2 linked regions of the Caenorhabditis elegans genome follow. The gene in region 2 interacts genetically with the main gene of each other region. Each region holds a gene or a part of one and is shown on either strand. Other genes may lie near its edges.

Evidence for each region. A genetic interaction does not mean that the proteins touch.
Region 1: of mom-5 (region 2) and B0545.4, changing one enhances a phenotype caused by changing the other (phenotypic enhancement), as found in Caenorhabditis elegans (one large-scale study listed by BioGRID).

What each region holds. Positions count from the first base shown.
Region 1 is NC_003282.8:108,535-111,272, reverse strand, and holds B0545.4 (HAT C-terminal dimerization domain-containing protein), read left to right. Parts: upstream 1-1,865; coding exon 1,866-2,219; downstream 2,220-2,738. Other genes in the region: tpa-1 (Protein kinase C-like 1), read right to left, coding at 1,122-1,271.
Region 2 is NC_003279.8:9,963,702-9,970,538, reverse strand, and holds mom-5 (Protein mom-5), read right to left. Parts: upstream 4,960-6,837; 5' UTR 4,899-4,959; coding exon 4,426-4,898; intron 3,933-4,425; coding exon 3,562-3,932; intron 3,498-3,561; coding exon 3,359-3,497; intron 2,819-3,358; coding exon 2,577-2,818; intron 2,465-2,576; coding exon 2,344-2,464; intron 1,997-2,343; coding exon 1,778-1,996; intron 1,353-1,777; coding exon 1,205-1,352; 3' UTR 502-1,204; downstream 1-501. Other genes in the region: tsp-7 (Tetraspanin), read left to right, coding at 46-190, 293-426. UniProt on the Caenorhabditis elegans protein: Receptor for Wnt proteins.

The DNA.
Region 1 (2,738 bases), on a different chromosome or scaffold from region 2:
GAGTTTAATAAAAAGGTTTTATTTGGGGGCACTTAATACAACTGAAAATTAGTCTATCATGAGAAATGTGTCATCATCATTTTGGTTTGGAAAACAAAATCGCGTTTTACTAATGGTAATAAGTACCAAAATTTGAAAAAATAGCAATTTAATTTATCTGTTCTCATTTATTATACTATTTCCCTATATGGTTTCCCGTTTAATAGAACTAATAGTAAATGAACACTTCTCCAGCTTCCGGGTTTCCACTTCCCCCATTTTTGTGATGCCGAGTGTGGTCCATCCGTTGCCCCTATTTCCGTTACCCCTGGGGATTGTCGGGATTTTTTTAATGGGTTAAACCTAGATTTTCTGAAATCAGCATACATGAATTACCCGTTTTCAACAAAATTAGGCAACTTTTTATTTTTGCCCAAATTTTTTTCAGCCATCTAACAAATTTAGATGTTTGACGGATTATTATCTAGTGCAAGTGCACTAGATTTTTTATTGAAAGTGACTGTGCGAGGAATTAAATGTTTAAAAATTAATTCATTTATTATTTTTAATTTTTTCTCGAAATTGCTAAACCTCTGGTCGATGTGTATAATTGGAGAACATATAATAATGCTCTGACAAAGAAAATATGGAAGTAAGACAAAAAAGCGTGGGAAATTCAATATTGTAAAAAAAAAGTTGAAAATTAGACAAAAATCGGGGAGAGATGTCAAGTGATATGAAATACAAATTAATGGGCGTGGCCAGGGAGGGGGCGGGGTTATTTAAAATTTAATTATCAAAAAAAATCTATATGGAGAAGCAGTCTTTACTGATCAGTGAATTTTTATACACGTGGCATCAAATTTGCGGGGGCGGGGAATATTATGCAGAAAAATTTAAAAAAATTACAAAGTCTTCACAGTGTGGGTTGTTTTCTGACGAAATACCAGTTTTCCAAAACAAAAATTCCAGAAATTCAAATTTTCAGTAGATTTTGAGCGAAGAGTCTTCATGGATTTCAAGAATTCCGTGAACGTCAACTACCTAGGATTTTACCAGGGATATATCCACGGATTTTTTTCTCAAAAAATCGTGGTGACTCAAAAAAAACGAATGAAAAACGCTGCTAAATGAGATTTCAACTATTTTGAGAAGTGAGGATTCGTATAAGAGAAGTTAAGGAATGCTTCAGGATCGATTGAAGCCAGTAGGTTCTTGTCGTGCACAGGTGTCAACGCCGCCTTCTCGTTCGTGAAGTCGTCGTCGAAGTTCGAGGCGTCCGAGTTGGATTTCTAAAGAAAAATATTTAAAAAGTGCAAAATAAGGAGGTTTTAGGGAACCTGGAACTTTATGAGTTGCAAAAAACACTTGTTAAAATATTTTAGCCCCATACGGGTTCGAACCCAGGCGCTGAGATTACCAGACAAGCCTATATACCAGGGGTGTGCGGATAATAGCCGAATTAGCCGAATTAGCCGATCGGCTAATTCGGCTAAAGTACTCGCAATGCAAATATTTGAAGTTTTCTACAATTCTTGATCCTCGCTGGAAGGTATTACTGAAAAATGACGTTGATACAATACCATGTGAAATCATACAACTTTTTCAGGATATCTACTCGGATCAGGATGAAGTGTTGGAGTTTATTAGAGCCGTCGAAAAGGAAGACGATGAGCCATACAGCAACGTAGATTCTGAATATGATGACTTTGGTGATTCATCAGAAGTAACCGAACCTGTTGCGAAAATTCAGAAAACGGACTTTGAGCTTTACATTCAGGTAAATAAAATTTGGAAAAAATTGAATTTAATGGATTGATTTGCAGGAGAAGATCAAGTCACGTGGAAAGCATATAGCGTTAACTGATCAAAGTTTAACAGTGAAAATGGAGGTCACCCGATATCTTTCTACTGCAGTAGAATCAATTTTTCCCAGAGATTACTGGTTGAATCCTTTGAGTAAATCTTCATACCCTCGTCTTTCCCAGTTTGCTCGTCGCTTCGTCATTTGCCCAACAGGTTCCAGCGAAGTCGAAAGACTATTTTCAACGGCGGGAACTATTCTGACTAAATATCGAAAAACGTTGACATCAGAAAACTTCAAAATGCTTTTGACTTTGAACAAAAACATTCGTTTAATGAATCCGGATATGGAAGTCAAACTTCCTTCGATGATTAAATCAATTAATAGTCTTTTTTGTTACAAACTATCTTTCTTCGAAAATATTTCCTTCTCCTGATCTTTTACTGTTCTTTGTTGTTTCTTATTGTTTCTTAGTGTTTCTTGTAGTTGTTTCTATCTTATAAAACTGTTATTTTAAAATTGTCTACTGTATCGGAAAAGAAAAATTATTTTTAAAAAAGAAGGGACGATCCGTTCTTCAAGTGCTATGCACTGCAGATATGGAAGTCGGGTACACTGCCTTGTCTTGCTCCCAAAATTAGCTAGAACAGAAAAATTAACTACTTTTCTTGTAAATTAGCCGAATTAGCCGAATTAGCCGAAAATTAGCCGATTCGACCGATAAATTTTAGCCGAGTTATCCGTTAGCCGAAATTTTTGAAATTAGCCGTTAGCCGATTGTTAAAAAATCGGCGTTAGCCGATTTATCCGTTAGCCGAAAAAATCGGTTATCCGCACACCCCTGTTATATACTATACCTACTGCGCCACTTGCGCAATTTTTCAAATTTCGATAACAAACCGGCATTGACGTAATTTTTAGTACTGAATTTGTAGAACAAATTTTTCAAATGTAG
Region 2 (6,837 bases):
AAGTAGAACTACAGCATTTAAAATTCAAATTAATTTCAATTTTAGTTGTTTGAATGTTGTGGAGTAACAAATTCATCCGATTGGCTCACATTCACAACAATTCCTGATTCATGTTGCATTGAAGAAATCGAGGGATGTGCTCGAGAGAATGCTCCACTCTTTGAGCCCGGATGCATTCACAGTGTCGAACGTTAGTCTTTTTTTTCCAAGAAGATCAAAGTGTGCTCTGTTGCACTTTCTCAATAGAGCATGATTGGGCTTATCGGAAATTTGATTGTTTTTTTAATTGCAGAATGGGTGCTCAAGAATGGAGCAATGGTCGGCGGAATTTGTGCAGTTTTGGCAGCAATTCAATTGGTCGGAGTCTGTTTCGCTTGTTGTCTTTCAAAATCAATTCTCAAGGATTTCCATGACTTTTATTATTAGTTCATAACCATCCGTTTTTCTTTGCAATCCTTATTTTAGGTTCTTTCAATCGCCGTGTCACAAATTAAACAATAATAATAATGTATAATTTATATATGAATATACGATGAAAAAGAAATTGAGGATGAAGAAAAATAAGCAACCGCATAAATAATGAGTAATAAATTCATAACTCTAAATTCGAGACAAAGACTGGGATGAAAGTGGTTTTACCCTGATTGGAGTGCTCAAAGTGTGAAAAAAAGTGTGTGAACCTTGTGCTGGAGCTGGTGACAACAGAACTTAAGAACATGAATAAACGAGATACATGAAAAATGGCAGCGAGAGAACTGATCTACAGTAACCTGAATTGAAGGGGGTTCTTTTTTGACTTTTCTCAAGCTTCTTTCTGCCCTTTTTGTCAGATTTCAATGTAATTCCACTCAAAAATATCATTTTTCACCATCTTTTCCACTCGTTGTCTCTCTTTTGCTATGTAAGAGCGCATCTTTGGGAGCCGGTTCTTAGAAATGTGCTCGTCGCAACTCAAATCAGGAAGCATTGAGAGACAACGAGTAGACGAGGAGAGTGTAGACACAGAGATGGATCATGCTCTGGGGAATGATTCTGTGAGAGGAAGGGGACCGATGGGCGCCGTCCGATGAGCAAGAGAGAGCATAAGAATAAGTCAGAAAAGTTACAAAGAATGAAGAAAAAGAAACATTTGAGTTGGTTGGGAAAAAAGTGAGAAAAGGAATGAGAATACATATAAATAGGATAAAATGACAAGAAGAGACTATCACCTCATATTAACCTGATCAACATGAGCAGGTACAGTAGGTGACCTCGAAGAGAGTGCCAGGTAAGCCTTGTGATAACTTGAAAGAGTTTTTGAAGAGACAACCCAAATGGCACAGGTTATACCAACAACCAATTGAGACACATATCTGAAAATAAGAACATTTAGGGGTTTCGAATCAAGATAAATAATTCATATTAACTAGACGCGAAATTATGCAGTCTCGGCACGATCCAATTTTGTCGAATATGCGCCTTTAAAGAGTACTGTAACTTCGAAGTCGCGTTGCTGCGGAATTTACATCGATTTTTCATGAATAGTTTTTCTTATGTTAGGCTTTTTGTGTTTGAATTGCTTAATATTTAAATAAGAATATTTTTTATCAAGAAGCGATGAAAATTCTGCAGCAACAAGAGTTTGAAACTACAGTATTCTTTAAAGGCGTATACATTTTTGCATTTAACAAACATTCGTCTTGTCGAAACCGGATGTCGCATTTTTGGCGCAAAAATCAGAAAATCAAATTTAGATTATACAGATTGAAATTTAACTGATTCACAGTTTCAAACTAACTTTAAAAGAAAAACAATAATCTCCGGAGCTGCAACTTTCGGATCCATCGGACAATCATCAACTGGATACGTGAAACCGAATAATTCTCGATCTTGAAGTCGAACACATCGATGATGAAGCCATCCTTCAAGCCAGGCAGGCATATTTACTGCCTGATACCACATAATTGCAGCATTCATTGCAGTTGGTAGAGAGTACATTATGGCGAAGGCACCGATTCTGAAAATATAATATTTGTATGATAATATGAAACGAATATCAGAAAAGCGATTCTTAAGTTTTTCTTATTTTGTTCGGTTCTTAGGAAATCCAATTTTTTCGTTTTTTTTTTCTGAAATTTTGGAATTTTAAATAAAAAATGATTTCCAGGGAATTCTCGGGTTTTAGAATAATTTATCAACTTTCCAAACTGAAATCAATATATCTACATCAGTAAACCTAGTTTGCTCGTCTTTTTCTGTACATGTTTTTCCAATTTTTCGTTTTCCAAAAATCGAAAGTATTTCTTTTCTGATTAAAAAAGCTCAGGTACTTTTGAAGATTTTCAAAAATTTGAAATATCGAACCTCAACATTAATTTCTCCAATTTACTGATATTCCTCTCAACATCGGCGTGTTGAAGTTTAATATAACTTCGAATACGGATCATTGACCAAATTCCACAAACGAGTAAAACTGCTCCGAGTGCTGCAAATAGAACATTTCTGAGAAGAAAACGAAGATAAATAACGATGGAACACACAACGAAACGAATTCAATTTCGGTCTTCCCCCACCATAATATTCACAAAAAAACTAACCCAACGATACAACGATCGGAGTGAAAAAGAAATAGACGAGAGCAGAGGGATTCAAATTTCCAACTGAACAGATTCCAGTAAATACATCTCCATCGACAGAATTTGTCACTAGTACAGTAACCGAGAGAACTGCTGGAACTCCCCAGCACATTGCGTGGAAGTATGGTGACAGAGCAGCAATTGATTCAGCTCCCCATTTCAGATTTGCCGCCAGGAACCAGGCTAGACACAGTACAAGCCACCTGAAAGAATACTTAGTATATAAAATATCATTTTAAAAAGGCTGATAGCTGTTTAAATCAAGATTAAAAATTTGGGTGTCGATTTTCGATTTTTCAATGAAAACAAAAATTTTCGATTTTTGTTTTTTTTTTGTTTGAAGAAAAAATACATTTTTTTCATGAACAAAATTTGATAAAAATTGAATTTTTTTTTTGATTTTCCGATTTTCCGGAAACGGGGTTTTTTTCATTTAAAATTTGGTTTAAAAAAAATATTTTTTAGATTTTTGTTACTGAAAATTGTCGAAAATCATAAATGTAATTTTTTTCTGAAAAATTACACTCGAAATTATAAAAATTAAAATTTTTATCAAAATATTCAAAAAGTTCTTTAAAAAAAAAATGTTTCAGTTGTCGTTTTTTTGTTGAAAAATGTGTTTGAACAAAAGAAAAACATGCCGATTTTTTTTCGAATGCACATTTTCAAAACCAGTTTTCTATTTGTGGTACAAAAAACGGTACTTTTTTCGTTAAAATACAAAAATTAACGAAAAAACTCACCACGCACAACTTGACATGAAGAAAAAGTAATGAACAACAGCAAGAGCACTACATCCAACATTTTCTCCTCCTTGCGTAACAAGTGTTGTTGGAGTAGATCCATACGTTCCACAAGCGAATCCATCTTCACCGACTACGCCTGTAGAAATACATTTTTAGTTTCTAAAAAATCTGATTTAAAAAAAACAGAAAATTCAACTCACCTATCATATAAACCGTAGAAATTGCTAGATAACAGAACGCGAGATACAAAATCGGTCGAACTGGATACGCGAATCGTGATAAATCAACAAGAAATGTGACAAGAGTGAATAAAGAGCACACGAAACATGCCACAGACCATGCTGCTGTCCAGATTCGAAGAATTCGTCGAACACGTCCATCAAACATCATTGGTACTTGATTGTCAGCTTCACATGTTAATGAACATTCAGGAAGGCGTCCACTGAGAAGAGGCAATGAAAAATGAGATCCGCTTGTTGTATGCATATGATGAGGGCATTTTTTTGGAGAAAGGACAACTTCGTTGGCAATTGTTGAAACACCGAATGTGACGTCATTACTACTTCTGTAACTTGAAATATTTTATATTTCGATCTACGGAAACTTGTTTTATTGTTCGATAAAACAAAGAATTTAGAAATCTCGATGTACATTTTTTTCGGAAAATTTCTAAATTCAAAAACTTTGATAAAAAACTATTTGACGCTTTGGAGTAGGAGTTTTTATGGGGCTCAAAAATTCGGAATAATACTTAAATTCAGCCAAACTTGTCAGTATCACAGCGGCCGTAAATTTAATTTTCAGAGAGCTTTTTTTTTTTGAAAACTCTTACGAGGTTCGGTCTTTGCAGGCCATTCTGAATTTATTATTATTTTTCTTTAAATGCAAAACCGATGATTTTAACTGAATTTACAATTTAATTTCTCGCTGTATTTAAAAAAAGGATTCTAGAACGGTTCCCGTAAATTTAAACTTTAATTCATGTTTTGGGTACTTTTGAAATTTTTGTTGTAAATATATATCAATTATAAATTCTTATTCATAAAATTATGCAGAAAACCCACTTTTTAGAGTTGCTCGACTCGCTGGAATTCTTGCCAACACACAAATCAGTTACTGGGAATTTGTTACAATCCAATTGATCTGGCCATTGAAATCCAAACTTTTTCATTAATGACTCGCATCCATTTTTTGCAGATAAACACAATTCTCGACATGGTTGAATTGGTTTTTCGAGTACTGTACAGACAGGTGCATAGACAGTACAAAGAAAGAGACGAATATCTTCTGAGCATTTAACTTTAATTAATGGATTGAATTGCGCAATTGCTGGACCAGCTTCAGATTGTGTTGTATGTCCGAGAAGATTTGGAAATACTGTTTGATTGTAATCCAGATTTTTGCACATTGGAATTGTAATATGTTCACATTTTCGAGTTGTTGAGAATCCATTCATCGATGAAATTGAAGTTGATGAGAGTCGTTGATCAGCTGATAAGCATCCGAATAAAAATAATATCAGAATATGTCGATGCATTGTAATTGATAGTTTTGAAGAGATTTCAGATTGACAAGTGTTAGTTCATAGCAGGATTCGTCTGAAAATATAAAAAATTATTAAAGAAATAGTTTTTTTGGTTATATGTATAGAAGAAGTTCAACATTATTTAGTTAATAGTTTGTGAAATGGAGAGAACAAAATTCTAGAAAAATGATTTTTGGCAAAATTTGGAAAAAAAACCGAACTTAAGTAAATAGCTAAAATCTTTTTCAGAAAAAATCGAAAAAAAATGTTTAGAAAATTAACAAAAAGTGAAATTTTTAATGAGTTGTTGATGTGGATAAACATTTTCAAAAAATTCTTCTAAACGGAGGAAAATGGCCAACAATTTTAGATATTTTACGAAAAATCTTTTTTTTTCTCGAAATATCAGAAAACCAACACAAATACTTTCCGGCAGTTGGCAAAGATGACACATTAAAAATTTTGGCTAAATTTAGGGATTTCTCTTCGAAACATTTTCTATAAACATTTTTTGGAAGGTTTTATTGGAATTCAAAATAGAAGACTCGGTCCATAAATTGACCTTCAATTGATGAGAAAACATTGAATTTTCAAAAAAAGTGAAATGGTGTAATGTTGACATTGGTTCCAAGTGCTAAATCGAATCAATGAATCGTGAAATTATAGTGAGAAACGTGGCAAAGAAAGACAAAGAATAGTAGATTTCGGTATCTAAGTGAATCTAATCTTTAGATTACTGTACAACATGCCTCTAATCTCTTTTTTGTAATACTCTCTCGTTACGCAACTTCCGAGAGAACGGAGCACACACACACAGTAAAGAATAATTACGGCTCGGAATTCGAGAGTAATTAATGATGATGATGAGCACTGACCTAATGAAAAGATCGAAAAAGAGTGAAGAGACACAGGCCACCTGCTGCTCGAGTGTCAAATGGGCAATGAACATGCAAACGGATGAGGGAGGAAGGATTCAAGAATTTTCAAACAGTGATTCATTTCGAAAATATTCTTGTTATTGTTTGGAGAGAATTGAGGAAAATATAGATGAGAATCGAATTGAGAAAAACGGGGACGATCGATCTGTAGAAGAGATAAGAGCAATGACCTAACTGGTAGAATTTTTTGGCATTTCGGAAATTAGTTTTTAGTTTTTAAATATTTAAGTTGAAGAAAGCAAAGAAAACATTTAAAACAAATTGTCTGAAATCAACGATATTCTTAAGCAAAAGGACGCAAAATATTGCACCAAAAATACGGTACCAGGTCTCGACACGATAAAGTTTTGTTTGCGCCTTCAAGGAGTACTGTAACTCGCATTGCTGCGGATTGTTTTGATTTTATATAGGTAAATTCATGGATTTTCATTGTTTTAATCAAGTTATTTAATAAATCAATATTTTCTATCGGAAAACTATAAAAAATCGATGGAAATTCCGCAGCAAAGTTTAAAGTTACAGTACTCTGTCAAGGCGCACAGCTTTCTACATTTATCAAAAATTTGGCGCGTCGAGAGGTACCGTATTTTTTGCTAAAAATCGCAGAATCGAGCCTGAAAATTATATAAATAATTTAATTGTTTTCGAAATTCAAAAAAAGATGCCAGAAATTTAATATCGACGAACTCGAGGAGCACATAAACATATTATTTGAACTTTTGAATAAACTTTTCCAACATCCGAACTGGGAGGCCGAGTTTCGCAATGTGAAGAGCCAACATACACGTCTCGTGCCGGAGATGGGTGTCAAATTCAATTCCCGAATCAAATCAAATGAACAAATAGGCCCGTCGTTTCGATGAAAAAGAACTGACGAGAGCAACACAACTGGGAGCTTGTGACCAGAAGAAAATGGAGCAAACGAGTGATTTGTGATTGATAACGGAAATGAAAAATGGACGCGGAATTGGAAATAGTGGAAAAGAAGAAGAGGTTCAGACAAGATGGTGATA